Struthio camelus: one gene and its partners. The protein of the gene in region 3 purifies or fractionates together with the protein of the main gene of each other region. This does not show direct contact. Links are inferred from orthologs where the notes say so. Each region holds a gene or a part of one and is shown on either strand. Other genes may lie near its edges. The genes, in order: XPNPEP3, GAN, VIM and NES.

Evidence for each region.
Region 1: the proteins of VIM (region 3) and XPNPEP3 purify together in Homo sapiens (affinity purification with mass spectrometry; 3 studies listed by BioGRID and IntAct, with this or other methods). This does not show direct contact. The link is inferred for Struthio camelus from reciprocal best matches to the Homo sapiens genes VIM and XPNPEP3.
Region 2: the proteins of VIM (region 3) and GAN purify together in Homo sapiens (affinity purification with mass spectrometry; 3 studies listed by BioGRID and IntAct, counting the BioPlex papers as one, with this or other methods). This does not show direct contact. The link is inferred for Struthio camelus from reciprocal best matches to the Homo sapiens genes VIM and GAN.
Region 4: the proteins of VIM (region 3) and NES purify together in Homo sapiens (affinity purification with mass spectrometry; 3 studies listed by BioGRID and IntAct, counting the BioPlex papers as one, with this or other methods). This does not show direct contact. The link is inferred for Struthio camelus from reciprocal best matches to the Homo sapiens genes VIM and NES.

The regions. Positions count from the first base shown.
Region 1 is NC_090942.1:57,098,765-57,106,038, forward strand, and holds the start of XPNPEP3 (xaa-Pro aminopeptidase 3), read right to left. Parts: upstream 3,015-7,274; 5' UTR 2,891-3,014; coding exon 2,830-2,890; intron 1,038-2,829; coding exon 921-1,037; intron 1-920. Other genes in the region: ST13 (hsc70-interacting protein), read left to right, coding at 3,308-3,603. UniProt on the Homo sapiens protein: Catalyzes the removal of a penultimate prolyl residue from the N-termini of peptides, such as Leu-Pro-Ala. Also shows low activity towards peptides with Ala or Ser at the P1 position.
Region 2 is NC_090951.1:6,219,730-6,226,826, forward strand, and holds the start of GAN (gigaxonin), read right to left. Parts: upstream 3,012-7,097; 5' UTR 2,916-3,011; coding exon 2,749-2,915; intron 1-2,748. UniProt on the Homo sapiens protein: Probable cytoskeletal component that directly or indirectly plays an important role in neurofilament architecture.
Region 3 is NC_090943.1:23,968,589-23,976,437, forward strand, and holds the start of VIM (vimentin), read right to left. Parts: upstream 3,011-7,849; 5' UTR 2,876-3,010; coding exon 2,334-2,875; intron 2,086-2,333; coding exon 2,025-2,085; intron 1-2,024. UniProt on the Homo sapiens protein: Vimentins are class-III intermediate filaments found in various non-epithelial cells, especially mesenchymal cells. Vimentin is attached to the nucleus, endoplasmic reticulum, and mitochondria, either laterally or terminally.
Region 4 is NC_090971.1:3,563,670-3,571,447, reverse strand, and holds the start of NES (nestin), read left to right. Parts: upstream 1-4,760; 5' UTR 4,761-4,892; coding exon 4,893-5,705; intron 5,706-7,004; coding exon 7,005-7,129; intron 7,130-7,612; coding exon 7,613-7,686; intron 7,687-7,778. Other genes in the region: BCAN (brevican core protein), read right to left, coding at 901-1,024. UniProt on the Homo sapiens protein: Required for brain and eye development.

The DNA of each region.
Region 1 (7,274 bases), on a different chromosome or scaffold from region 3:
TCAATCTCCAGTATTTCAGCTGTGAGTAGTTTTTAAGCATCAGTCTCATTTACTGTACCCTGTTAATCAGGGCCCTGAGCAACCTGATCTAATATTGAAGGTAGCTGAGGTTTGAGCAGGGGAGTGGATCTGACGACTTCTTGAGGTTCCTTCTGACCTGAATTATTCTACAATTTATACATATGTTATACACCCCCGCCCCCATTCTCTCTGTATATATAGCTGCAGAAAAAGTACACAGCATATTTTCCTGGACTCATTCTTGAATATATTTTTTACTTTCTTTTTTTTTTTTTTTTAAGTTTTTATCGCTGTCACCTCACATCTACATGCTCATTGTCCCTAATCTCACAACCCTGCACACTCTCAACTGCTTTTCCATCAGTACCTGCTAACCTTATAGTGACTAGTCTCCCTTTCTTCTTCGTAGCTTGAAGGCCTTTCTGAAAAGAACATGCTTCTTAAGCAAGTGGCGCTCATCTCTCAGTAAGTCTCTCTCCAAACTTTTTCTGAATTGCACCTCTCTTTTTTGACTCACAAGATGTTGTACATGAAGTATTCTGGTAGTTTAGTCTATGCAAAAGAGTCTTCCCTAATATAAACCATACTGCACTTGCAGGACAATTTGCTTACAAGATGCCACTGCCACAAAACATCTACAGTGCTTTAATCAGTGACACAGAACACTCCTTGGGAAAAAGGTAAAAAAGCCAACATGTAAGCTTATTTTTGGAATCGGTATCACCTCAGACAGGGAAACTACTAAATAGTTACTACCTAATGAAGCTAATCATAAACAGGTGAAATCATGGACACCTGCATCATGCTGCAAATCAATACTCTGTCCTAATCATTATCTCAGGAAAACAGAGGAAAGAAAGAATACCAATGACTGGCTCGTACAGGGCCTGAAACCTAACCTGGTTTGAGAAGGTGTGGGTGTGTGAAGGGGCTGGGCTGACCCAAATACCGGTTTGGAATCTTCTTCTGCTGGGCAGGCTGGAGGGAAAGTCTCCGGAGAGCCCATGACTTGCAAGCTAGAGGAAAAGAAATACATCACATCAAGGTAAAAGACCTTTCCAAATATCAAATTGCAAAATTACACTCCAGTCATCTGACTCTTAATAGCATTAATTCAACCTCTATCACAAAAATATCCTTTCTTAACTTTTCAACTTGTTGCACGTACGTTTGCTCATAAAATTGTCATTGTACACAACTCAACTAATGATCAAATATCCATAAAACAGATTAAAAGAAATCAACATACTTAAATACTGACAAACCAGCACAGAAACACAGAAAGCTAAGCCAGTTTGCACACGCTCAGTTTCAACATCTTGCGTTCGTGATGTGCTCAGTGTTCTCCCTCCCTCGCTCCCCTCAGACACTGCAAGGTTTGAAGCATCACAATCACCCAGGTCGCCTGCATATCAGCATGTCTTGATTACACCCTCAAAAACCATCTCCTATGTAACAATCAGCGTTTAGAGCCTTTCCAATTCTTTTTTAACTAAAAAGAAGCCATCAAATACTACTGCTTTTACAGTAATGTACAAATTTTTTTGGAGGGAAGATACTCAAGTTTCCCTCATCTGTTATGCATCTAGCTTACTTAGCAGCAATATTTGCCAAACTGGAAAAAATTCCTCAGGAGCATAGTTATGTACCCCATTTCCAATCTCACAAACCACTTATGCTGCCAAAGAAAACAGCTTTACGCAAGGCAGCTGTGTGTGAATTGGGGAGCTGGAGGAGGGCACAATAAGACGCAAGATAAAATTAAATACCGTGAAATATGTCTCTCTCTGCTGGCCCTAACAAACCTTACCAACTCCGGATTTCTCAACTACATTTGCAATTGAAGTATTGCTTATGTCTAGATACAAGTTATCAAACACAGGCAAGGAGACGGTAATCAGTTTCCTAACCTCTAACAGCTGATGTTTTGTTAACTAATTCTTTTACGTCACTTGCCACGTGCCTACTATAAAATCAATTTATGCAGCTCTGGCACAGTACCGGATTCTCAGCAGAAGTGATAATCAGCTCTTTGATGGCATAAGCAAGCGTAAAGCTGTTGCACATGGACACAAGAAAAAAAGCTGCCTACCTTTCAGGAAGCCAAGACACAGGGACTTATGCATAGACTGTATGCACAGACTGGATTTTCTGAGAGAACCAATATGACTATCTACTAAACAAAGATTATTTATGTAGGACAACTGAATATCATAGCTTAAAGTATACTATCTGTTTCAGTATGTGATGTCTGACTGCCACAACAGTCTGGAAATTTAAACAATAAAGTATAATTACTGCTTTCTGTGCAGTCTGAACCGAGACAGCTTTCACTTGTGTCTACCTACCTACAGGGAAGACAAACAGGACATCTCGCAGCGAGACAAGAGAACACAACAGGCATCAAACAAAACAACGTTTTGAACACAGCGGGCAGCTTTCCAAATTGTTGCTTTATTTTTCAAGTAAGAACTCGTCCTTTCCTCAGATTTATCCACGACCGGAGCCACGACTTCGCCGCCGAGTCACCTCCCCCCCGCGCCCACCGCAACGCCGCAGGGAGCAGGACGCGAGCGCGGCCCCCAGCTCGCCCGGCCCCGAGCGCCGCCGGGCCGCCAGCGATGGACGGCAACAGGCTCTGAACGGCGACAACGCTTAACGCGACAGTAGCCCCCCGCCCCGGCGCTCCGGGCTCTCCCCGGGGCCCTGGGGACAGAGGCAGCCCCGGCCAGGGCCGAAGGGGGCAGCAGGGCCTGGTGGCACCGGGCCGCTGAGGTGAAGCGAGGCGGGAGGAAAGGAGTCTCTGACCTGAGAAGCCGCGCCAGCCCCTCACCGCCGGGACGAGCCTCTGGGCCGCCAAGCGCGACATGGCTGCGGCGCGCCGCGCCCCGCCAGACCCCCTCCGTCCCCCCCACCCCCACCCCACGCCGGCCCGGCGCGCACATTGCGGGGCCTTCCGCCGCCGGCGCGCACGGACGCCACCAGCGCCTGACGCCATCGGCGGGCGCCGCCGCCCCGCCCGCCGATGCCGCCAATGAGCGGCGCAGCGCTGCCTTAGGTGCCCGCGCCGACCGCCTGCCCCGCGCCCCGCTCGGGCGGGACGCGCGGCGGGACGGTCGCGGCCCCGGCGGCGGTGAGGAGAGGCGGGCGACGCCACTGAGGAGAGCGACGCCCGCACCTCAGGGAGGTCGGCCGTTTAACGGCCACCTCCGCTTCTAGAACGTTCCGGCCGCTGCGCGGCGGCGGGGTGGGGGCGGGGCCGCGGCGGCGGGCGGGGCGTCGTGTCATGTCGTATCGTGTCGCGTCGTGGGGGCTGGAAACTTCCACGGCGCCGCGCGGCGGTTGGGCGGGGAAGCGGGCGGGCGGGCGAGCGGGCTGGGACGGAGCTGCGCTGCGCCGCGCAGTGGGCGAGCAGCAGGAACAGCAGCAGCAGCAGCAGCCGCCGTGGCCTCGGCCTCCCCGCCGTTCCGCCATGGACTCGCGCAAGCTGAGCGAGCTGCGGGCCTTCGTCAGGCTCTGCAAGCAGAACCCGGGCCTGCTGCACACCGACGAGCTGGCCTTCCTGCGCGAGTGGGTGGAGAGGTCGGTCACGGGCCGGGCCGGGCGGCGGCGGCGGAGACGTTGAGGCGGCTGTTGGGGTGGTCCCGCGCGGGGCCGTGTGGGGGAGGGGCGGCACGTGTCGGCGCGCGGCCCCGCCGCGTGGCCGGGAAGGGGGCGGGGGGGGGCCCATCGCCCGCGGCCGCCCCTGGTGGGGGGGGGGGCCGCGCTCCCCCCTTCGCCTCCCTCCCCCCCCCCCCCCGAGCGTCTGCTGCCCTCTCGCCTCGCAGGTCCGGCGCGCAGTCGTTACGGCTCGTGTGTTACATATATTACGCATACTATATATATATTTTATATATATATAGATATATATATATATGTAGAGTCTCTCTCCTTTTTTTTTTTTCTTTAAACTCGCTCGCTCTTCTCATTGCAAATGTACACCCCCCCCCCCGCCCCCGGCCATTTCAGTGGCTTACCTTCCCCGGCTGGAAGGCCCCGGAGTAATATTTAGCGAGCTAATTCTCGCATTATTCAGCAGAGTTGGCTAGCCTGACTTAAAAGGATGCGAGTTTGTGGGGAGGTGAGTGGCGCTGATTTACATCCCGGCACCCCAAAGCGTTGAATATCTCGCAGCTCAAAGCGAGAAGTGGTTCGTGCCACAAATTTGCTTAATTGTTGGAAGTTTTCGCGTGTCGTGCAGTTGGAGTCTTGCTCCCTTTGAGGCGTTTCGTACGTGTGCTGCTTAAGGCTGTAGTTCCTTTTTTTTTTTTTTTTGGTGCATTTGAAGCTTGTCGTGGCAGATGCTTCTCAGTATGAAAACGTCACTGGATCTCCCCCAAAACTCGAAGTTGGAAGAGTTGAAGTCTGTTACTGCTCGTAGAGACCCCACAGAACCTGTATGTTCAACTGGGGAAACATCTATCTGTTCAACTTTCGGGGCCGCATCCCTCCTTGCTTTGAAAAACGTGAAACAATGAGGGAAGTCCTCGCAGATACACCTCTCAGGGGAGAAAAAGTTTTTATTCAGCGTCAAATTTGAATTTGCTGTGAAATGCATCTGAAAGTATTCTAATGGCATTTTCTGCCCTGTTGTAATTAGTTGGAAAACTAGTGGGCTGCTTTTTTCTTTTCTTTCTTTTTTAAAGTAAGCACTGGCACTTCACAGTATGCTGTGTAACGAAGATTGCTTTAAGCTATTTGTTGGATCTGTTTTTTAAACTGATGTTTAAACCTTTTAAAACATTGTATACTCATGCAATAGTGAAAACACACCTACTTAACTTTGCTTGGTTTTACAGTAACGATTGTAGCTGCACGTGTGCCTAGGAAAGTGATGCACTTATCTTGTATGCTAGTGCGGGTCCTCAGCCCCTTTGCTAATGTATAAAAGACCTCAGTCACTCACCCGAACTTAATTCTATTCTTCTGTTGTATGATTCTGAAAGTATGAACAGAGTATTGGGCAGAGAAGGGAGACACTAACTTTTGGCCAAAAAAAAGTGTTAGGGAAGTGGAGCCTCTGATTTCTAATTTTCTCCATGCTGATATGGAAAGCTCTAACTTGCAGATTCATTTTTAGTGTTTATGTTTGGTTAGTACCAGGGTGTGTGTTTTCTTGCATGTATTGTAAGTATAAAATTTAGGTTTGGAGGTGTGGAGTGTTTTTTCTATGGAAAAACTTTATTGGCTGTCTTTGTCTCAGATGTTAACTTACTCAAAACAGGACCTTATAGAGCTCTCTTAATGTTTATTGTTTCCTCACTTATTTAAGCTAAATATTTGGGTAAATTATATACTTGAATATTTGGAGTAGTAGCCAAACTACCTCTCATGTCAAACTGGAAGTTTGGCGAGTTCCCTTCCATAATAGCAATGTTTGCAGTCAGACAATGACATGTTTTTTTTTAGGGTTTTCTCATTATTCAGAAGCTACTTGAAACTTACAATGGCTCAGGTTCAGGAGAAATATATCTGATCGGTTTTGTCATATCTTTGTCAGGCTTGCCTGTATTAATTTAAAAGGCTTAGGTTTGGTCATGAGGGTAATGTTGCAAATGATTACACAGTACTGACTAAATGATACTGAAATCTATCATGAAATTTTCAGCTAACATTCTAATATAATTGATCTGACGTTTTCTTAAAACTGAGAATGATGCTAATTGCTGGGGAAGCCTGAGGGTGGTGCTTGATTTCTGACTGAATGTTAATGTTACGTCAGAAACCTTAAGTCGTCTTTCACGTTTTCATGTACTTGTTATCTACTGATCTTTATTCTGTATAGCTGATCTATTTCATTTATTTATAGATGCTTGTAAAGAATATACTAATGTATGATTATATTTGGAAAGGGTTCTGATGTCCTGTTTGTTCCAGCTTATTTCTTTCATAACTGCATAAACATATAAATATTTTAACATGAATCATTGTAAAGGGAGTCGTTACATAGGGGCTGTATTTCAAAAACCTGCAGTTGAACAAAGAAAACAATAGCAGTCCTTAAAAGTAAGGCACAAAGCTCAATTCATGAACAGGGGTGGGGTTTTTTTTGCCTCTTTGTTGTTTTTCAGGAAGATTTTGTCCCTTTGAATTTTCTGTAATCCGGTTCATCTTTAAAGATAATTGGGTATAAGTGAGCAAACTGGATGGAGAAATGACAATTGCAGTTCTAAGAAGTCAGAAAAGCAGCACTTCACATCACTGTGATCAGTGGAAGTGTGGAGTCATTATTACAACGGAGTCCTTACAAATTCTCGTGTGTAGTTACCTGAATTGCCCAATTCTCTCACCAGGTCTCCGCGCAAAGGCTTATTTTAAAATGGGTTTTTTTGTGCATTTATACTGCTCAGTAACTGAGTTTTCATACAAGAGTAACTCCTGTGCTATATGTGTAGACTGTTGAGTTTAAATGCATTGCAAATTTTGCACGTCCTCGCTGCACGTTTAATCGTAGTGTTTTAAGGAATGATTTTAGAGTAACTTGCTTTGGGATTGTTCTGGAATTGCAAATCTAGATTCAGTGGAAGATAACTAGATAGTAACAGTATTTTTAAGGGACTGGGAATAAAACTGTGTTTGTGAAAGCAGTTTGTGCAGTTCGGCAGTTCTGAAATACCGTATTGGGAAGTGCATAAATACCGGTTAAGCGCATCTCATAGACTATTTTAACGATTCTTTAATAAAGCCCTAGGTAGGGGGGGTTGGGCAAGTGAAGGGGGCAGAAGAGACTAATCAAGTTGTTCCAGCCTTGGGATGTTTCTAGGTTTCAGACTTACAAACAGCTGATATTGAGACCAGTAATTTGGAATTGCTCTGGAATTCTAATCCTGCATTTCATAAATATATGATGGAAGCTGGGAATCAATTTTTGACCTTTTTTGAATTAGAGGGTTCTCAGTCTTTTTCCGATAGACCTAGTAGGTGAGCCAGGCTTTGAAGAAGTCTTGTTGTATAAAAGAAATATTGCAGTGTTTTCAGTAAGCGTTAGATGGATAGGTGTAGATCTTAATTTCTGAGCATTGTGCTAACCTGAATCTTAGCTATTAACACTTCTAAAATCCTTTAATAATTACAGTTCCCTTTTGATGTGCAGAAGAACAGATTTCTTTGGTTCACCTACTCTGGTCCCTATGATGTCATTCTTTTAGTTGTTATGTCTGACTTCTCTTGAACTGCTTGTTAGGAGAACTAGGATGAAAACTCTGGAATTTATA
Region 2 (7,097 bases), on a different chromosome or scaffold from region 3:
AACAACTTCCATGCAAAACTAAAAAACAGGTAACGCTCCTCTCTCTGTGGCCACACAAATCCCTCAGCGTACAGACTCTGCTCACACCCAAGCCGCCCCCTCAGAAAATCCCATGCTTACTTATTTTCCCGCTCACACCCTAAACTAAGCGTTCATGCAAACCCTACACAGCTTCTCAACTTGCCCACCAACTTGCCCACAGCCAGAGCCAGAAACAGAAAGCAGAGCGCCAACTAGTCCTGCCACTGCTCCACTGCTAAGGGTAAATATCCCATACCCACCCATTTCTCCACCCAATAATATTTCTGAAATTAGTTACTAGATTTTCTGAGTTTTATTTTGGAACTTTCAAATGAAAGCAACGGAAATCAATTGATACTTGGAGACTTAAACAGACCTTGGAGACTTAAACAGCTTTGGTACCAAGGTACCAAAGTACCAAAGCATGCTTTGGAATCATCTAGTCTGCAACATAAGATTCATGAGTCTCCTCTAATAACTTTTTAGATTTAAAAAAATAAAAAAAAAAACCACACACTCATTCTATTAAAAAAAAGACTCAAAAGAAATGGGACTAAATATTTGCAGAAACTAGGGACAGGCTAACGGTGATTTTTGGCTCTAAAAAGAGTCACTGGAATGCTAATTTTGGCTTAGAAACTTAATTCTCCAATACCAGCAACCAACCCAACCAATTCTACTCAATGGAAAGAGCAGCTGGAATAAGAAAGAGATCCTGGAGTGGTGGAAAGAGGAGAGACAAGCAGCACAGGTAAAAACTAGGCTCTGCAAAGATAGGTAAGACAGATGAGTTTATATGCCATAAAAAAAAAATCTGGTATGTGTTATTTATGGCTCACTACATGTTGCAAGCCCAAGGAGAAAAGATGAGTAAGCTTAAAAAAAAATCCCATTTATATATCAATACGTGTAACCTACTTCACACATAGTTAATGAGTTCCTTGATGGCATCTGAACTTGAAAGATTTTAAGTTTAAAACACCACAACTCTAATAACTACACTGACAACAACAAAACAGTCATGTTTGGCACTCTGACTCTTCGCGTGTGCTTTATTAGCTCAGGTTTCCTAGTAAATTTTTCAGAGGTGAATGACAGAATGCAATACTTAAAGAGGAGATTCTGTGAAAAGGAACTTTTCTGTAGAATAATTTATGATATCTTTTAATTAAGTAGCCTTTTTCGTAGCAAAAGATTACACAGTTCATATAAACCCATACAATAATTACAGTAAAGTAGCAGTTTTTCCAAGACATGGCCTCTTTCCACCTAAACCAAACCTTTTTTCTCAGCCAAGGAGTCTTTGTTAGGACACTAACTTCAGATATGATGCAGGGCCATCTAAAAGATTCGTAATGACAAAAAACAAGCTAAAAAACATTCTGGCATTTTTGAAGAGTACTGGATCAACTGCTCATATTTATTTCAACCTCATGTCTCTGATTAGCCTTTCAATATAGTCTTCCATAACTGCTTCTCAAGACAGGAATTGAAAAAATGACTACTAGTACTTCAGCTTTTTAGTGTCATTTTGCAGGTCCTTGCTGCTCTTCTTATTTCCGTGAATTTTATTTCATTTTACCCCTCAGCCCTGCTAGCTGATGCATAACGCTAGTCCGTGTACTATGGAAAAATCAGGCGCTTAGATTTGAAATATCAGAAAACCTTTCCTTTAAGCCTGTCCATTACTGACATCTATTTAAAGCTTAATCACCAACTTTACGTTCTATTCATTCCTAGTTTATTTTTGTACTTAAGAATGTCGAAGCTCTGCTACAATCATCACTCAAAAATATCACACAGCCTAAAAGCACGCAGAATTACACGGCCGACGTCTGCTACAGTCTTACGATAACCCTAGGTGTAAGTAAAACCGAGGGGTGCAGTCCTTCACATGCTAAGGCAAAATTAAAGTCTCCATTACCTGCAATTGCTAAGACCTATCAAAAAAGAGAAACAATAAAACTATGGAACTCAACCCCTGTACGTTTCATTCACTCTCTCAGATCCGTACTATGAAAATCTTCCCACCGGGGTATGCTTTTTCTATTTTACGCCATTGGCGCCTTCACCGCTGAGCGTACAGGAGAGCCGACAGCGCTGCCCGGGGAGCGGGTTGCCCTGGAAGTTCGGCCCAGGGCAAAGGGCGCGCCGGCCCCCGGGGCACCATGACTGTGCTGAACGCTGCTGGTCCTCCTCTGGCTCGGCTCGGGCCGCACGTGCCGCTGACGCCCGCGGACCTGCGCGGACCTGGCTTGATGCCGCTGGCAGTTTCTGAGGTAGATTCGCACGTATTTGTGAGGGCATAAAAAAAAGAGGAGATTTTTTTTTTTTTGGGGGGGGGGGGGAATAAACCCGTACAGTTTCTTCACACTTAAGACGGGGTGTATTTCGGAATCCGTCACCACCGCCTGGAGCCTTAGGTGTTGTTAGAAGGAAAAAAAAACCCACTCATTAAAAAAAAAAACCCACCCAAACAACAACAAAACCCCCACCAAAGCGCCGGCCTCACTTGGCGCCTCCGGCGGACGCGGAGCCCAGCGCCGACAGGGGGGCCCCGCTCGCCGCCGGGGGGGGGGGGAGAAAGGCCCGGGGGGGGGGGGGGGCCGCGTTTCGGCGGCGCCCAAGGGCAGGCGGGGCCCCACCGCCAGCACCCGCCGCTCCCGGCCGAGTCACGGCGCCGGGCCGGGCCGTCCGTCGTCCCGCGCGGCCCCGCTCCCGCCGCACCTGATGTAGGGGCTGGCGGCCGCCAGGATGTTCTTCTGCACCGGGATCTCCTCCCCCTCCAGCACCAGGTGCGCGTCGCAGAAGCGGCTCTCCTCGCGGAAGGAGCTGAGGGCCCGCAGCAGCCGCGCCGGGTGCTGGGGGTCCGACACGGCGCTCGGCCCCGACATGCTGCCGCCGCCGCTGCCGCTCGGCCCCGCACCGCCCGCTCTCAGCGGCCGCGCACCATGGCCGCCGGCCCGCCGCCGCGCCCTGACGTCATCTCCCCGCGCGCCTGGGCGGGGCCGCGCCGCCCCGGGGGAGGGCGCGGGGGGGGGGGCGCGTGCCCGCGGCCCTGGGGCGCGTGCGCGGCGTCGGGCGCTGCGTGGCGAACAACGTTTTCCTTGTTGCCCTTTGGCGCTCACGTGTGACCGGTAGAGCCGTTTCCCCCCCCTCCCCCCCCCCACGGTGCGCACGCAAAACGCTGAAGCGGAGGAGGGTTAAACCGAGCGAGATGCCGGTGCAGGGAGCGGGCTGGGCCCGCCCGCTGGCCCTGCGCCCCTTTCCGGCAAATGGATTTGCTTTAAAAGGACTTCTCACGAGGTTTTAGGCCATGTATTTAACATACTTTTATTGCACGTTAGGGGATGGCTTGCTTCCACCTGTTTCTTTTTAATAGCGTCCAATAGTTCAGGCGTGAAACTCCGAATTTGCACCAACTGAAAGTGTTTTAAAAGCTGTCACCTACTTGAGTGTCGTTTCAGCCGGCGCTGCCGAGAGGAGGCAAACACGGGAGCGCAGCACGGGCCCAGGCGACACCTGAGGCGGCCGAGTCGGGTTCCTTAGCTTGTGAAATACCCTGTTGCAGGAGGAGATCTCTGTCTTTCCACTGGGGGAAAAACATGTTAGGTAGCGTGCTTCTATTATTTGCCCTCCTTTAAATCAGTGATTTCAGGCATGGCACTTAAGAATATGTCTATTTGAAAGGGGGAAAACTTAAAATTGTATTCTGTAGTTCATCCTAATCCAGTCTGGTAGTGTCACTGGAAAAATTAGAATAAAGGTATCTCAAAATGTCAGCCCGGGAAAGAGAAACGAAGGGCTTTACGCAGGCAACGGGGTCGTTGCAGAAGCAGACACCATGCTGTGCTGTTCTCCAGGTGGAGATTTCCCTGGGGCGTCCGGCACACGGACACCTCGCTAAATCCAAACTCTGCCACAAGTGTTTGCTCCAGAAGAATGCGAATAGCCCATTTAAGGCAGCGTTTTGGGTTCGCCCTCGCTCAGGTGCAAGGGAGCTTAGGTGCTTCGCTGACCGGAGAGGGAGGGTTGCACCGAGAGCAGTAGCGTGCTCCAGGCTTGCTGTGCGGCTTTGAACAAGTATTTTACAAGAAACGGTGAACGCGTTTCGCACACTGGCATGATGGAAGGCATAAAAACAGACTAATTCCTGTGAAACACCAGCTGCGCATGATTGGCGTAACGCAACATACCCACGTAAAAATATTAGAAGGCCACTTCTTCTGGCTTGGGTGTAATTATCCAGGACGGCGACTGTCCTCCTTCTGAGAGATGCAGAGAAGGCACATCCACAGCTCTCATGACAGCAGAGAGTGCTCTGCATCTTGCACTGCTGGCAAAAGATGTATTCTGCCTGATGTAATTAATACTTTGGTAATTGCATACTCAAGGGAGTAGTAGTTTAAAGTATTGTGAAAGCTGTCATTGAGCAGCCTGGTTATTTAAAAAGAAAAACACTGGCTTGTTTCTATGCCTCCTGCATGGATTATTATGTAGGAAAGCACAGTTGTATTTCTCTTTATTTATTATTTTTATTATTTTTCTCTTTGTATATATATTTAGTAAATAGGTCAAGTTAATTGATTCTGCTCCTGCTGTGTATGTGGGGCAATGGGACAGATAATATCCACTGTGACAGGACAAATTAATTATTATGTTTTGTTATTTGTTCCATTTAATGAAACCTGTTGATAAAAAAAACACTGGTAGGGCACAACTAGAGGGCTGTTTGTAACATCTTTGAAGTAATTATATGTATGCACACTTATGGCCTGATTCTGTTGCTCAACAATTTCCTGTTATTTTACATTTATAGAAGCTACTTATTCATACTATTTCTATTTGCAGTCACTGTGTCTAGATTCTTTTGCCATTAAAATAACTCCGCTGGTCTCACGGTGCTAATTTATGACAAATAAACATATACATTGGTGCAAAAGACGACTCAGACCCTTCTGTCCCTCAACATTTAATTCATAGTGAAGGATGTCAGGGAAGCACAGCAAATGACAGACTCGCTACCATCTGTCATGTTGCTACAACAGAAAAAAACCACAAGTCTTGCAGTCACTTGGCAAAACTTACAGGCATTCCCCACGGGTTTTGTCAGCCTGGACATGATATTGTGTATTACCGTCTTCACCTTAAATGTTTCACCAGGCTACTAGTGCAACTGCTAAAAACATTCTTGAACAAATTTGCGATTAAACATACTTACAGTCTGAACCACGTTGTTTCTGGTGCAGTAGGACCTGGATCGAATACTTGGATTGGCAAATCTAGATTTACATCACTATGCTTCTCTTTTCAGGTTGATTGCAAACATCATACTAATCACATCCTGTGTAATTTTGACCAAGTAAATACAGTGCACTTTGTTCTTTAAGTTAACTTTAAAAAATCATACCCCAAACAAGTTCTTGTAATTTATCTTCTGATGTCTTTCTAAATGAACATAACGTATTTGTTTTCTTAGATGTTAGATAACAAATCTGATTTATTTTTTGATGGATGTTCCCATATTATGTTATTTCTGTCCAGTGTGAATTACCTCCTCAGAAGCCAAGTATCTCCTGTATCCAAAATCATGATCATCCAAAAACATAAAACAATGTATTCCACAGATGAAATTCTGGACACAAACTCTTAAAAAGAGGTTTGTAATAGTGGTCAGACATTTGTTTTATGAGCTCTTTATAACTCCAGAAATCTTTATAGTAACTTTTTAAATATAAACTTTTGCAAATTAAAAAAACAAAACAAAACAGCCCTACAGCTGATCTCTTTTAAGTGGTACTTTCCCAATGTCAGAAATCATTCTTCCATTTTAGTCCTGCTTCCATGTTACTTATACAAATGGAATTCAGTTTCTCCTTTAGATGATAAAGTTCTCTTAAATAGTAGTGGTAATAACACCTTGAAAACATCAAAGATGACCATTTCTGCAGACATATCTTGCTGAGGTGTTTATTTCCATTTTATGGAATATATAAATATTTGAACACCCACAGCTGCATACCTAAACTCTAAATTCAGACCATGGTGACACTTTCTACGTTAAAAATAGGCTGTAGATTCTTTATACTTATAAACTGTAAAGACTTAAGCAGAGGAAGGGAGGTACCGCTGTTACAGTGCAAGCAAGAACCGTGGAAGATGTTGCTTCAATTTTTGCTCTGCCGTAAACATCTTATGCAATCATGAACAAGTCACCAAAGGCCAGATTCTCATCTGACAGGTAGACAGAAAATTACAATGATTTCATTCTGTTTCCTACCTGTAAAAAAGAGCGAGTAGCAGAGATGCTGTGATGATGGGTATATTGAAGAGCTGAAGTTACCCAGATCATGTGATGATACATACAGACCAAGCGAACACTGAACAGGGATAGATGTACCGCTAATTTTCTTCAACAGTAAAAGGATCTAAAATAGGAAAATGCAACTTAAAGAACAAAGGCTCTCATTTAAAGAAAAATCCATGCCCCAAATCCAAAACCAGAAATACACTCATGGGCCATTCCTATACCAAAAAAACAGACATAGCGTACCAGGTGTTAGAACTCTGGGTTGAAAGATGCTTTTTAACTGTGAGTGTGAATGAGAGAATTGTGTATTTCTGTTAGGAAGCATCTGTTAAAGGCAATGATCAGCCTGCATCAGAACTTGGATGCTCCTGAGCAGATAATAATGTAAATGCCTAGACAATAACAACAACAACACACTGCAGTTTTAGCTACTGAGTGGTTCAGATTAGGTCTAAATTCAGTCTTTCACTCTTCTACCTAAACAATTTGTTGAACGTGTGTATCTCAGTTATGCTAGAAATACACTGTTCTCATTCATATGCCTATTGTTATTAACAAAGAGACAAAAAGACAATGAACGGTATTAACAAATATTACCTTTTTATTTATCTTTTAGACAATGCAATCATCTAATTACTTGAAATGTCATATCAGATATTATCCCCAAGCAAAACTGATTTAAATACAAACTGCTTATAACATTGGGATTGAATACTGCTAAAGTGTAATTGAATGCTACATAAAACCATATATTCTGTTTCAAGTT
Region 3 (7,849 bases):
CCTCACTTACCAAAGACAGTACTTCTATTTAAATAGATGTAGTTTTTAAAATCTGCATGTTTAGCCTACCCTCTTATGATAAGTTAGATATTACTATTGTTCAAATTAAACACACTATAATACACTAGTTCAGACATACACAGATTTAGTGTAATATATCCACAAATATTTGCAATTTTTACATATTCTGTACCTTAGAGGTGAAACGGATATAGCTGGCCTAGCTGTACTGCACATACAGATCTGCTGGTGGCTGAGGTTCTGAATGACCACCCCCCCCCTTAAAGCATAAGCATTAACTGGATAATAAATGTTGTAGAATACGTATAAAACCAAGTTCATTAAGGCCTTGAGTCTAAGTCTACAAAAAAGTAGAATCAGTTTGAGATGGAGATAGCCATGCCTTGAAGTGGAACAATTGAGCATGCAAGATCTTTTAAGCCAGCCACCTTAAGTCAAAGGATCCTCCAGCTGAATTCAGCAAAGAATCTGACTAGATTAGATTCTCTAAAGTAAAGTTCAGTGCAGAAACATATGACCTTTGCACACGTTTAAATTGGCTTAGCATTCAAAAAAATCAGAAGCTTAAATTAAGGCTTGAATTTAATTCATACCTTGAATTCTTCTTTTTCAAACTTCTGTTCCCAGAATACTAACAGAGACTTTAAATTCCCAGACTTTAAATGACAGTTGCTGTCTTAATTTCTACATGTTATCTCATTAAGACATCTGTTCTCCTTTAGAGAATATAAGCATACTGCAGTTGAAAACCTTGCCCAAGAAAATATTGACAATCAAGTGATGACTTCTCGAATGGCGACATCTACTAATGTATATGAACAGCTTTGTGACCAAGTCAGATCTGAGCCCAGCTGTCTGTAGATAGAGGCGGTCACTTTCAGCTGGGAAGAATTCTAGCAATGCTGTTTCACACCAGCAGGTTTAGGGATGAGATCTTGTTTTGAGAAGGCGCATTCCTAAATATCTCCTAGTCCAAACAAGGCTTAAGCCAAACTGAAAGCTATTTTTGCACAAATGAAAACCTGAGCTTAGAGCTTTTTCAACACTGTTGGAAGAGTTAGTTCTACTTATCATGTAGCTTTTAGCTGATCTGGATAACATGGTAGCTTCCTACCGAGACTAAACTGCTTTCCTGTGTTAACAACTTTGTTTGCATAGGATTAAATTCTACATTCTTAAACCGATAAGAAGAGAAAAACTTGACTGCTGTGACCTCACCAAGGGACAAATGGTCTACTTATCAGCAGACATCAACACCAATACAAAAGAGTTTAACTTTAAAACTTTTCTAGTAGCGCTATGAAGTGATTCATAAAAAAAGGAATTCTGTTTTGTATAAGGCCTAGACCATATACATGACAGACACTTTTCTCTAGAAATATGCTTACATCATTACGCATTTAGTAAGAATGCAGCCCACTGCACCCTCCCCTCGGACACAAAGAGTTCTATTATTTCAATCTGCTGCCACCACACTTGCCATAATGCCTGTATCTGCATTCCACGGTGAATCCCATAGAAACCATTAATACCCTTCAGCCAAGCGAACAGATGGCTCCCCTTTCACTTTTATTGGATCAGAAAGTGATTCCACATCGGAGCCCTTTTGTAAAATAGGCTAGACTTGGATAAAGCAAGACAATAGTTTTTACCCTCCCCCTTGGACTGTGGCATCAACCTAAAGAAAACAAGGAGATTGTGCATGAGAACCGATGGAATTCCTTTGTGCAAGGGAAGCACAACTCCAAGTCCCACTCTCCCATCCCAGCCGCTACCTCAGGACTTTCTCTCCCATACAGCGGTTCGGGAACGGCAGCTGCTTATTTCGAGCGCGCTTAAAATACAGGCGGCTGCCTTGTTTGTTGGGTGCCCCGGGGGAGCGCGAGTATTGCAAGTCACCGGCGGCGGCAAGGCGGCCGCGGCCGGGACGGGCCCGCCGCTGCCGCTAGGCGGCCCCCTCCCCCGCCGCCCCCACGGGCCGGCCGGTCGGGGCGGTGACCAACCTGTCGGAAGGTCTGCAGGGTGTTCTCGGCCTCCTCCCGCTGCAGCATCTCCTCCTGCAACCTGCGAGCGGAGAGAAGCCGGTGAGGAGGGCGCAGCGCGGCCCCCACCCGCCCGAGAGCCCCCCGCCCCCGGCCGCTCCACTCCGCACCGCCCGCGCGGCGCGGGGGCTGCGGCACCGCCCCGGCCCGCCCGGGGGCAGCCGGGACGGCGGCGCGAGGCCGGGCCGCGCCCGACCCGCTCCCCTCGGCCCGAGGGGCGGCCGCCGCCGCCCCCCTCCTCCTCCTCCTCCCCCCGCCCTACACACTCACTTCTCCCTCAGCCGCATGATGTCGTCGGCGAGGTTGTCCCGCTCCACCTCCACCCGGGCCTTGTCGTTGGTGAGCTGGTCGACCTGCCGGCGCAGCTCCCGCATCTCCTCCTCGTAGAGGTCGCCCAGGCGGGACGTGCCCTTGCCCTTGAGCTGCTCCAGCTCGGCCAGCAGGATCTTGTTCTGCTGCTCCAGGAAGCGCACCTTGTCGATGTAGTTGGCAAAGCGGTCGTTGAGCTCCTGCAGCTCCACCTTCTCGTTGGTGCGGTTCGCCTTGAACTCCGTGTTGATGGCGTCCGCCAGCGAGAAGTCCACGGCGTCGTGGAGCCGCATGGGCGGCATGCTGCTCCGCAGCCGCACCGACGTCGCCTTGGTGGCGTACATGCCGCCGGGCGAGGCGGACACGTAGCGAGCGCTGCTGGGGCGCAGGGCGCTGCCCAGCGAGTAGCGGGTGCTGGAGGTGATGTAGCGGGTGCCGGTGCTGGGGCGGCTGCCCCCGCCGAACATCCGGCGGTACGAGGAGTTCTTGGTGGTGATGCTCATGGCGGCGGCGCGGGCTTTGTAATCCGGGAGCGGAGGAGGGCGGCTCAGCTGCGCGGCGGCGAGAGGCGAGCGAAGAAGAGCGGGGGGCGCCGCCCCAGGCCCTACTTATGGGGCGCCGCGCCCCCTGCCGGGCCCGCCCCGCCCGCCGCCCGCCACCAATGGCCGCGCCGCCCGCCACCGCCTCGCCCCGCGGGGAGGGGGAGGGGGAGGGGAGAGGGAGGGGGAGCGGGCGGGGCCGGGGCGGGGGGCGCGGGGGTTTGCAGCCAGCCCGGCCCGGCCAGGACACAAAGGCTGGCGCGAGGCGTGACTCAGGGCCCCGCGGGAAGGGGCCGGGCGGGATGCGGCGGCGGCAGGGGGCTGAGGGACGCCGGCGAGGGGAAAAAGTAACGGCCGGCCGCTCTCCCCCTCCCCGCAGGCAGCCCGCGGCATCTCTCCCCCGCTGCCGACTGAGTCCCCAGGGCCGGCAAACCTCCCCCCGCCTCGAGTCCCGGTGGGACCGCGGCCGTCCCCGCGGGCGGCGGCTGTGGGGCGGCGGCCGCTGAGGCGGGAGCGGGCGGGGGGCGGGAGCGGCCGTTGAGGCGGAGGCAGCGGGCGGGGGCGGCCGTTGAGGCGGGGGGAGCGGCCGTTGAGGCAGCGGGCGGGGGCGGCCGCTGAGGCGGGGGGTCCGGGGCGTAGCGGGGACCCGGCGCCGGGGCCGCCCCGCCGCGCAGCCGCCGGGGCTCCCCCGCCTCAGCGGCCGCGCCGCCGGCACGGCCCGCGCTCCGCCGCCCTGCGAAGGAAGAGGCGGCGGCGGCGCCGGCCCCGCGCTGCGCGCCCGCGGGGGTCGGCGCGCGAAGCAACATCGCTGGCGGGGCGGCAAGGCGCGTTGAGCTAACCCTTGAGTTTGGTGCGCTCCTGCGCTGACTGAGCGCCGTGACTTGCAAGGAAGGTTGCCAGTTTTAAGGTTAAGCCACAGCCAAAATACTTCAAATAGCACAGCACAGGAGGATTATTAAACAAAAAAAAACAAAACAGTATAATCTATCTGCTGGAGAACTTCTTTTTTTCTTTTCTTTCTTAGCTTTCTGAAACAATGCAATCAGGGCAAAGTGTTATTAACTATTCACAAAGGGCTGCCAAATGTCCAAAATAAACAGGCAGGGAAATAAATTGCCTGTGTCTCCTTTTGTCATTAGCTGCCTCCTGTCACAGCAATCTCAGCTTCTGCCCCGGTGTTAGTTCAACGCCTCTGTTCAACACACGTTCCCAGGCTATACGCCTTTTCCCTTTATCTGGGTGAGCGTTTACATGGCTTAGTGAAGAGGCACACTGAATTCTGTCATTATTTTAACATTGGTCCCAGGCCATAAGTAATTGTTTAGCATACGTTTTTGGAATAGCTGCAATGAAGATCTTGCTCCTGCTCTTGGATGCAACCCTTCTCATAACTAGGAGAGAGGCAGGCTTGAATTTAACCAAGGTTTGGGTCTGCGAGTGTTGTACCCAACAGACGCTGGCATTGATTTCAGTAGGCACAAGATCAGAATCTTAGGAAAGCACCCAGTGAAATGACAAGTATTTGTTAGTCACGATCTGGAAGTATCCTCTGTCTGTGGCTTCAGATAAAAATCCCAGGGATTCAAGAGCAATTTTACTATCAAAATGGGGCTACCAGTAACAGAGAAGAATGATATAGGAAGTACAGGGCAATAGCAATATTGCATGAAATTTGGCAGTAAAAAAACTCCTTAAGATTGATTTCTGTATGAATGTAGAGAGATCCATAATGTAGTACTTCAGCATCTATGGGATGCAAAACTACCATTAATTTTTAATTGTTTTTAACTTGAGGTCCTGCAGAAGCAAATATACTTACTGGAAGTTCTGATAAACCTGAACATGAACACAGGGCACAGAGGAAGGTAATTTTCGCATCCCAACTCACAGTCAAGTCAGCCTGCATTCGTCAGATATTGTACCTCATGAGGAGGAATCGGAGCACAAAGGATTTTTTGAGGATTTTTTTAAAATTTTTTTGGTATTGGAGATTGTGCTTTAGTTTGATTCTGAATGGCGACCAGAAGTTACAGGAACGTAGTTTGTAGCTAAACGTAGGTCTGTGAGGTTTTAATTTGCTATTGTTCACTGAAGCTTAGTCAAGCAAACGAAGCTGACAAGGTTGAGCTACTGAAGTGCTTGCAGCATGAGTCCTGGTCTACAGCTCATTTCATTCAGTCCTTGAATAGGAGGCAGAGGTCACACAGCATTCCTGGGGCTGACTGTACCGCCATCCCAGCCCGGCCTCTGCCGGGCTCTCCAGCCCTCTGAGAGCTCTTTATTTAAGCCATCAAGTCTGAGCTATAAGCCTTTGTGAATCCTGGCACAAAAGTACACACTCCTTGTATGAGCAGGCAAAAAAGTAAAGCAGCACATACCAAACAGCCTCATAGATTAAAGATGCTTTACTCAGAAGTGCTGGGAGTTTTAAGAGATGGTTGTTTTTTTAAAGGTGCACTATTCCCATTCAACCCTCTGTTCTTCCTAACAGAAGATAGTTTATTTGTACTCCACAAAATCTCTTTATGGCGCATACATGCAGCAGTCATCCTTCACTCAGAAACTGCTTTGCCCCTAAAACTCAGGGAGGTGTTTGTTTTAGCAAATACATTTACCCCTTTCCTCCATGTTTCAAGTGTAATTTCCATATGTTATGTCACTTCTGCCATATGTACTCTTGGCCACCTGCCTCATTGCTGTTTCTCACTATCAAATTTTCCTAGAAGTGTTATGATACTGTCAATTGCCAGGATTACAATAAACCTGTAAGTGCCTTTTGCTGGTCGGCACTTACATAGATACCTAAGTAGAGTAAGCTCTACATTTCCTGTAAGGCTGTAATAAACGTAACCCACATTTGCATCCCAAACCCCAAAGGGGAACTAGAACTGCTGTCTTCTTGAAGTGCAAAAAGATATCTACAGAACTGGTCAGGAAATAATGTATCTAAGTGTAACCATAGAAATCTTGCAGAGTGTAGTTGTTTGAACTGAAACCACAGTACTCTGCCTAATTTTAAGGAAAGTGCTATGGGATTTTCAAAGAGCATGGCTGGTCAGGAGGCTGACTACTACTTATGCAAAGGATACACAGCTAATAGCACATCACTGAACACCACACTGAGGATTATTCATGAACTAGTCCATTAGTAAGGGATCATCTGCACTGTTTCTTGTTATGCCTTCATTTGTAATTCCAGTACTCCGACAGGCTGCTCCTTCAGCTTGCTGTACTGCTCTCACCTGCATTTCTGTAGAGGCAGATCAGAGCTAAGCCACTGGCACACTTAAGAAAAGAAACAGAGATTTTTAATATGAGCCTTTCAGTTCCCACAGCTAATTTATTTTGGTATTTTCTGCCTTTTCACCAGGGAATTGATGCATTGATTCACAGCCAAGACTGAAATAAGGAATAAGGCTGAATAAGTGTCACAAAAAATATTGGATTGCTGTGTAACTCTCATTAACAGTGAATAACGGGTGTGAACAGGGAGAAGGTACAGATGCCTAAACTGCTTTGGTATCTGTTCTACTAAAATTGGGAAAGTCTCATGCAACCCAAAATTTTTCTGACTTTCTTGAACAACTATGTGTAGGTCTGAACACATTTCCAAAAATAATGGCATTCATATTTTTTGATTTGCCATTTTATTTAAGCAGTAGGAAACTAGAGTAAGTTAGCCCAGACACTGAATGTGCTTTTCCATTACTACAGACTTCTGCTAAACAAAAAGATTTGAATACTTTCATTAATCAGATTTGTGCCCTTTAATAAAGCTTCTACTTTAAAACATGAAATGCTCATTTTTTCCACGATGTATAAAATGAGCCATAAATATTAAGCATCCAGGAAAAATATCCTGCTATGCAAATGCAATCACTTTTGTTGTCAGTACGATAAAGCAACCTTAAATCCTTTTCAGAGGATGGACTGGAATGCATTGCGCTATGGAGACATTTCTTCACATTTCCCATGGCCCCATGAATACTGAGTAAACTCCAAGCAAAATGGACCAGTCTGCACATGAGGATACGAAAGACTGTTAGATTGCTACCCTGAATGTCCTACAGCGAGCTGAATAGGGAATCACCGTAATACGCAGACACACCAAGTGCTGGAACCTAAACTTGTGTGAATTCTGTAACTACCGGTGAAAAAGAGTCCTTCCTCCTTTAAAAAGGAAGAAGACGTCCTTGTTTAAAAAGACAAAGTCTTCAGTCATTTGAAAACAGAAAGGTCCTAGGTTCCTGTTTCTGAGGAGAAAAAAAAAAAAAAAGATTCTGGTTATAAATCCTGAGCAGAAGCAGCAGGTATCTCCCTGTAACTGGGAGCTAAGCGTGACTAAGAGTCCCCAAGATGGGATGTGTTCACTGTAGCCTCAATTTAGCATTTTGTACAAGTTAGCTGAGGTTAACTTCCTAAGAGTCCAGGAAAAGAGCTGTTTTTTCCTGGACCCAGGGAGTAGTTCTCCCTGCACATTGCATGAGATAAGCTGATTTGGGGGTCTGAACACCACAAGGCAGCAGAACACCTAAATGTTCAGGCACTTAAGTCCTCCCTTGTGAATAATTTCCTTGACTAACTAAGGACTTAAGAAAGAAACTGACAAATTCTTTAATGAAATTTATTTTTAAAATTATATTGCCTGTGGTAGTTGCCATTGTTACAAAACATCTAAGTGGTGTGACTAGCTACTGATTTCTTCAAGGAAATGGCTAGGTTATATACTTAAAACTAACCAAGTTTCTCTGCAATATTATATTTTAATGTAATTAGAAGTATATGAAACTTCTGGGGCTTTCATCACTAGGGAAGTGTTTCGAGTGTGACTCATGCCACCCAATTGCACGACTTACATTTACAAAATTATTATTGTTGTGCATTAAGTTCCCCTCTACTGTGGTTTCCAGTTGCCAGAAGAGGATGTTTTCTGTATCA
Region 4 (7,778 bases), on a different chromosome or scaffold from region 3:
ACCCTTATCAGACATCAGAGAATCCCCTGCTCCCGTCCCCGGACGCAGACCCACAGAAAACCACATGTCGACTCAGCTATCGGATCCTTCTGCCCCCCTTCCTTCGCTCCACCAGCCTCTTCCAGCGATTTGGAAGAAAAATTGCCTCTCGGACGGGCTGCCCGGACGCAGCCTCCCGCCAAGCCGGCTCCGGGCTGCCGGCTGCCCCGACCCCGCATCCCGCCGCCGCAGGCTCCACTGCCTCCCAGCGCCCCGTCTCGCCGGCCGCAGGCGGCCCCGTGGCGCCCAGCTGTGTCACAGCCTTTCACGGTGCGGTGAAAGGAGCCCCGTGGCCCAGCTGTTCTTCCTCCTCCTCCTCCTCCTCCTTCCCCCCGCTCGGGCCCTGCTCGAAGCCACGTACCAGCGCCCGCTGCATGCCCCCATGCCAAGCTCGCTGGCAGCCAGCCAGGCTCTGGCCCCTGGGATGCCACGTGCTCCAGCTCAAATCAGACTTTCCTGGTCTCCCTGCATCCCACCAGGAGGCAGGAAAAGCCAGGCCAGGCGGCCACAGAGAGGAAGGGGTGCGTGGACATCCCCGTCCCAGGGGGCTCCTCACCCCCAGCATCCTGTAGGGACACACAGTCGTCCCCAGGGACTCCTGACCTCTACAATCCCAGACATCCCCATCCCAGGGGACTCTTGACGCCCAGCATCGCAGACATCCCCATCCAGGGAGACTCCAGACCTTCAGTATCCCGCAGGGACGCATGAACATCCCCAGCCCAGGGGACCCCCAACCTCCAGCATCCAAGACATCCCCAGCCCAGGGGACTCCTGACCCCCAGCATCCCAGATATCCCCATCCCGGGGGGCTCCCAACCCCCAGCATCCCAGATATCCCCATCCCAGGGGGCTCCTTACCTCCAGTATCCCACAGGGACACATGGACATCCTCAGCCCCAGGGACTCCTGACCACCAGCTTCCCAGATCATCCCATCCTGGAAGACTCCTGATCCTCAGCATCCTGCAGGGACACACAGACATCCTCAGCCCGGGAGACTCTTGACCCCACACCCCACACATCCCCGTCCCGAGGGGCTCCTGCCCACCAGCATCCCACAGGGACACACGGACACTCTTGACCCCACACCCCACACATCCCTGTCCCGAGGGGCTCCTGCCCACCAGCATCCCGCAGGGACACACGGACACTCTTCACCCCCACACCCCACACATCCCCGTCCCGAGGGGTTCCTGCCCACCAGCATCCCGCAGGGACACACGGACACTCTTGACCCCACACCCCACACATCCCCGTCCCGAGGGGCTCCTGCCCACCAGCATCCCGCAGGGACACACAGACACTCTTGACCCCACACCCCACACATCCCCGTCCCGAGGGGCTCCTGCCCACCAGCATCCCGCAGGGACACACAGACACTCTTGACCCCACACCCCACACATCCCCGTCCCGAGGGGCTCCTGCCCACCAGCATCCCGCAGGGACACACGGACACTCTTCACCCCCACACCCCACACATCCCCGTCCCGAGGGGCTCCTGCCCATCAGCATCCCGCAGGGACACACGGACACTCTTGACCCCCACACCCCACACATCCCCGTCCCGAGGGGCTCCTGCCCACCAGCATCCCGCAGGGACACACGGACACTCTTGACCCCCACACCCCACACATCCCCGTCCCGAGGGGCTCCTGTCCACCAGCATCCCGCAGGGACACACGGACACTCTTCACCCCCACACCCCACACATCCCCGTCCCGAGGGGCTCCTGTCCACCAGCATCCCGCAGGGACACACGGACACTCTTGACCCCCACACCCCACACATCCCTGTCCCGAGGGGCTCCTGCCCACCAGCATCCCGCAGGGACACACAGACACTCTTGACCCCACACCCCACACATCCCCGTCCCGAGGGGCTCCTGTCCACCAGCATCCCGCAGGGACACACGGACACTCTTCACCCCACACCCCACACATCCCCGTCCCGAGGGGCTCCTGCCCACCAGCATCCCGCAGGGACACACGGACACTCTTGACCCCACACCCCACACATCCCCGTCCCGAGGGGCTCCTGCCCACCAGCATCCCGCAGGGACACACAGACACTCTTCACCCCACACCCCACACATCCCCGTCCCGAGGGGCTCCTGTCCACCAGCATCCCGCAGGGACACACGGACACTCTTCACCCCCACACCCCACACATCCCCGTCCCGAGGGGCTCCTGCCCACCAGCATCCCGCAGGGACACACGGACACTCTTGACCCCACACCCCACACATCCCCGTCCCGAGGGGCTCCTGCCCACCAGCATCCCGCAGGGACACACGGACACTCTTGACCCCACACCCCACACATCCCCGTCCTGAGGGGCTCCTGCCCACCAGCATCCCGCAGGGACACACAGACACTCTTGACCCCACACCCCACACATCCCCGTCCTGAGGGGCTCCTGCCCACCAGCATCCCGCAGGGACACACGGACACTCTTCACCCCACACCCCACACATCCCCGTCCCGAGGGGCTCCTGCCCACCAGCATCCCGCAGGGACACACGGACACTCTTGACCCCACACCCCACACATCCCCGTCCCGAGGGGCTCCTGTCCACCAGCATCCCGCAGGGACACACGGACACTCTTGACCCCACACCCCACACATCCCCGTCCCGAGGGGCTCCTGCCCACCAGCATCCCACAGGGACACACGGACATCCTCGGCCCCAGGAGGACTTTCCATCTAGTCGCTCATCTGCCAGCCAGATGGTGCCAGGTCGGCCGGCGAGGGGACGCCGGGCTCGACGGGGCAAAAGCTGCAGAAAAGGCCGGCGAAAGAGGCCCCGGAGGGGAAGGAGAGGGGGAGCGAGGAAAGGGAGGAGAGACGTGCATCGAGGGCCTCCTTGCGGCAGACGCCGACGCTCAGGCCCCGGCTCCCTTCGGCCGCTCCTGGGAAGCCGGTTGCCCACGCGAAAAACGAGCCTTGAAAAGCAGGGCAGCCCCGGAGCCGCGGGAGCGAGCCTGCCCCAATTAGCATCCCTTAATTAGCAAGCACTGGCTCCCAGGGCTGCCTTAGCTCTCCCTGCCAGCGGCCGGTGCAAAGCGCCGGAGGGCAGCACCCAGCCGGGGTTTCTGCGGGGAGGGATGGACGGACGGACGGATGGGGAAAGGCAGCCCGGAGGCGGCGAGCCGGGCTCCGGCACGCGGCCTCCGGCTGCTGCCGGGTCAGACCGGACCCGTCGCGCTCACCGCCTCTCCGTCCCCATCCCAAAGGCAGAGGGACCGCGTCCCGTAATTCGGCGGAGCAGAGGTACCTCCTGGCCCGGCTCGCTGCTTTCCCGGGGCCTCTGCACCGCCGACGGCCGGTGCCCGGCCTGCCCATCGCGTGGCAGCACGAGGAAGAGGAGGAGATGAAGATCCATCTCCAAGCCGGAGACCGATTACCCGGCGCAGCCTCCCCTCCGCCCCTATCGCTTAATGGCATTTCAATCCCGGCCGCGAACGGCAAAGCAGAGCCGGGGGGGGGGGGGAACTGGGGGAACCAGACAGGATGTCTGGACGCAGATTTAGCTGGAAAGCCGATCCCCTCGGGGAGCACCCGCGCGGCCGAACCGGCGAGGCGGCCGCCCCAAAGGGGCCGGGGACGGCGTGCGCGGCCCCGAGAGGCTCGGTGGCAGCTCGCCGGTGGCCTTTGCCAGCAGAGGGGACTGTTGCTCGTCTCTCGGGAGGCAGCGCCAAGCCCTCGGGATGGCTCCGGAAGGGACTTTTGCTCTTTTCTCCGTTGCACAGGACGAGGACAGAGCAGGGACCTTCCTGGGAGGGGGGGGAAAAAAAAACCCCACCGTCGCACTGGGAGAGAAAGAGCTGGTGAAAAGTTTCTATCCGAATGTTTTTTTTTTTTTTCCGGCTCTTTTGTTCGCAGAAATCCCCAAGGTTGGATTTTTGAAACCATCCCCGCTCCTCCCCAACCCTCTCCCCTCCCCCTGCAAATAAATCAGCTGGAAAATTAAGAAAAAAAAAAAATTCCCCAAACGCTCCCCCGCGAAGCGATTCGTAACCCCACCGTGAAAGATCTGCCCCCGGCGGGTGAAAGCCGGCAGCAAAACCAAACGTTGGGCTGGCGCCTGCCGAGTTTTTTCGGGCCGTCGGCGAAACCTGCGGCGATCGGCCGCCGGAGCCCGGCTCCGACGGGGCAACATCTGGAAAGAGAGAGATTTGCAGCTGGGAGGAGCACTGCGGGGAGACGGGGGGGACGCCGACCTCCCCGGTGCCCCCGTCCCTGGTGGGGGGGGACAAGGCGGTTGCTGCCACCCTGCCCTCGGAAACGTCCCGAAAGGGCCGTGCCGAGGGTCGGCGCCAGCTCCGGCACGTCGCCGCAGCGATTCCCTGCACGGCAATCACGGCGGCTTTGCTGGGGAAACTGAGGCACGGCAAGGCATCCCCCCCCCGGCTCAAGCGCGCAAAGTCGTCGGGACGGTGCAAAACAGACCCCCCAAAAAGCAGGAGGGGGGGGGAATGGAGCTGAGCCCCCGGCTGGGGTGCCCACGTGGGACCCACATCTCCGGGGAGGGGGCTGCTGCTTGCCCCCGTGCCGGTCGGGACGGAGCCATCCGCCGCGGGCTGGGGCCGGCGGCGAGCTCCCGCGTCCCCTCTCCCCAGCGGGCAGGACGCACGCGCGGGGCCACCAGCGTGCTGGCCGCGGAAGAGTTAACCCCCCGCCTTCCTCCTCCGCCTGGGTCTCAGGGGCCTCCCCCTCACCCGGCGTGGAGTATGAATAGCTCCGCTTCGCTCCTCTCCCAGCCACTCGCTCCCGCGCCTGCCTTTCCTCTCCCTCCCCTCCCCGCGCCGGCCGCCAGTGCGTTTCGGGCAGCGGTCCGGGCACTCACCGCCGATGCTGAGCATGGAGGGCTTGGTGGGCACCAGAGCCCTGGGCGAGGAGTCCCTCCAGATGTGGGACCTCAACAAGCGCCTGGAGGCTTACCTGGCCCGTGTGAAGTTCCTGGAAGAGGAGAACGAGGTGCTGAGAGCCGAGATCCAGAGCGCCAAGGGCAGCCCAGGAGAGGACTCGTGGAGGACCAAGTACGAAGAGGAGCTACGAGCCCTGCGGGCCACACTGGACGATGCCTTCAGGGAGAAGTGCTCGGCGGAGCTGGCCCGGGACAACCTCTACGAGGAGATCCAGCACGTGAAAAGCAGGTGCCAGAAGGAGCAAGCAGCTCGGGAGGAAGCCAAGAAGCAGCTGTCCATGAGCAAGAAGGAGCTGGAAGAGGAGAGGAGAGCTCAGATCTGGCTGAAGGAGAGAGCCCTGCAGCTGGAGAAGGAGGTGGAAGCCCTGCTGGAGGTGCACGAGGAGGAGAAAGCAGGGCTGGACCACGAGATCGCCAGCTTCTCGCAGAGCTTGGAGAGCTTTCGCTGCGTGTCGGTGGCTTTCCAGCCCGTGGAGGTGGAGGACTACTCCAAGAGACTCTCGGAGATCTGGAAGGGGGCCGTGGAGACCTACAAGACAGAGGTGTCCCAGCTGGAGAGCTCCCTCTGCCAAGCCAAGGAGAACCTCTGGAAAGCAGTGGAAGACAACCAGCAGAGCCAGCTGCAGCTGCGGCACCTGGAGAAGGACCTGGCGGGGCTCAAAGCGCGGAAGGACATGCTGGAGGAAAGCCTGTCGCGCCAGTGGCAGGAGCAGAGAGGGGAGGCCGAGAAGTTCCAGGTGGGTGAAGGCAGGAGGGGAGAGCTGCCGCGTCGGCACCCCGTCTCGGGGAAGGCAGCGCAGCCCGAGGGGGGAAGGCACCCGCCGCCGGGGTAGGTGGAAGCAAAGCCAAGGAGGGAGCAAATCCCAGGAGGAAGAGCCCTGGGGAGGACCGGATGGCCCGGCAGCAGCTCGGGATAAGTTGCAGCTGGGAGACGAGGCAGAGGGCGGGAGGAGGAGCAGCTCGGTGACATCCTTGGCCCTGGGACAAGAGGGACCCGAGGCGGCACCGCTGCAGGGGATCCCCTCTGAGCCAGCGGGTCCTCCCCTGCGCCCTGACTCGGTTTCTCAACCGGCCGGGAGGCTTTTCCCCTCCGGCATCGGCGGATTTTCCCAGGGGAAACGGCAGCCCCTTGCCATCGCTCCCCCAGCTGCTGGGAGCCGGGACCGGGGTCAAGCCGGCGGGGAGGCTTAAAGGAAGGACAAACTCCAGCCGACTTCGCTGCAGCTGCGGCCGGACAGCTGCAAAAATAATTCAGCGGAGGAGGCTACGGGCGGGGGGGGCCGCGGCGGAGAAGGGGCTGGAAATGCCGGGAACGGCCAGGGCCCGCCGACGGGAGCAACCGGCACCGCGGAGCGCCAGCCCCGTGGGCAAGGGGTCCCTCTTTGTTCCAGGTCCGAAAGCTCCAGCGGAGCGAAAGGGCGTCGCGGCCGCTCGCCCGAAACGCGTCTCTTTCCCACGCCGGCGTCGCGCTCCGGCTCCCGCCGCCCAGCCGGCCTTTTCGTTCCTCCTCCGTTCGGCCGCCTCCGGCTCACGCGCTTTTGGCGCCCTGCTCCCTCCTCTCCTCGTGCATCGCTCTCCTCGCTGCTGCCTTCCCTCGGTGGCCCCGTGCCCAGGCCAAGCGCCCCCAGCACCCCTCACCCTGCAGCATCCCCTGGGATGCTCGGGGACCCAGGGAAGCATGAGCCGCTCCCAGGGTTTGCACAGACCCCGGCAAGCGTGTCCTTCCCCCGGTGCCGCCGATTAGGAAGTAGACGCTTGTTGGAGCCAAGTCACGGCCAGCTCACCCACGTCCTTTGGCTCCCATGGCAGGAAGGGGGACGGAGCGATTATTTCCCGTGCAACCAGAGGGCGAGGACGGGGAGGAAGAGCGCCCAAGGGGAGGGAGGGATCAGCCACCAGTGAAAGCCACCCAGACCCCTCACGCTGCTGGTGGGGTGGAGGGGGGGGGGATCAGCCACGTCCCAGCTCGAGCAGGGACGCAGGCGGGCGGCAGAGCAGCCCTGACCTCGTCGTCCCGCCGTGCTTGCTGCCCGCAGCTGGCGCTCGAGGCCCTGGAGCAGGAGAAGCAGGCTCTGCGCGTGCAGATCGCCCAGGTGCTGGAGGACAGGCAGCAGCTCATGCACCTGAAGATGTCCCTGAGCTTGGAAGTGGCGACCTACAGGTGAGGTCCCCGGCCGGGCCACCGCCGCGGCCAGCTCGGCGCCCCCTCTCCCAGCCCGGCCCTTCCAGATGGCCTCGGACAAAGGCAGCCTGGGAGAGGACTAGGGGGGACAATTAGCATGAGAATAGGGGCAGCCCCGGCGAAGGGGCCTCCCCGCCAGAGCATGATGTCACCCGGCGCCGACGCTAATCCCGGGGCCGGGGGGATGGGACGAGAGCCCCGGCCAGGGGGGAAGCTCCTTTGCAAAGAGCTGCAGTTCCCTGGGGAAAGGGCTGCCCCGGCCCCGCAGCCCGCTGGGTGCCCCGGACCCTGCGCCGAGGCCGGGGCTGCAAGCAAGGCTGCCGGAGCGACGCTGTGCAAAACCATCCCTAGCCCCTCCGTGCCTCAGTTTACCCCTAAAGCAAGGGAGACCTAGCCCAGGGGCAGCTCTTGCACGGATGCTCCCGCCGCCGTGCCCACGTAAGCCCACTCCTCTCCTTCCAGGACGCTGCTGGAAGCAGAAAGCACCCGGCTGCAAATGCCCGCCGGGGAATACAAGCTGGCCAACGGCTTGCGAGGTAAGAGAGCGGCGGCCAGCGCACGGGGCTCGGGCCGCCTCGGCGCGGCCGACGCCGCGAGGGTTAAGGGGACGGGGGCTGAATATAGACAT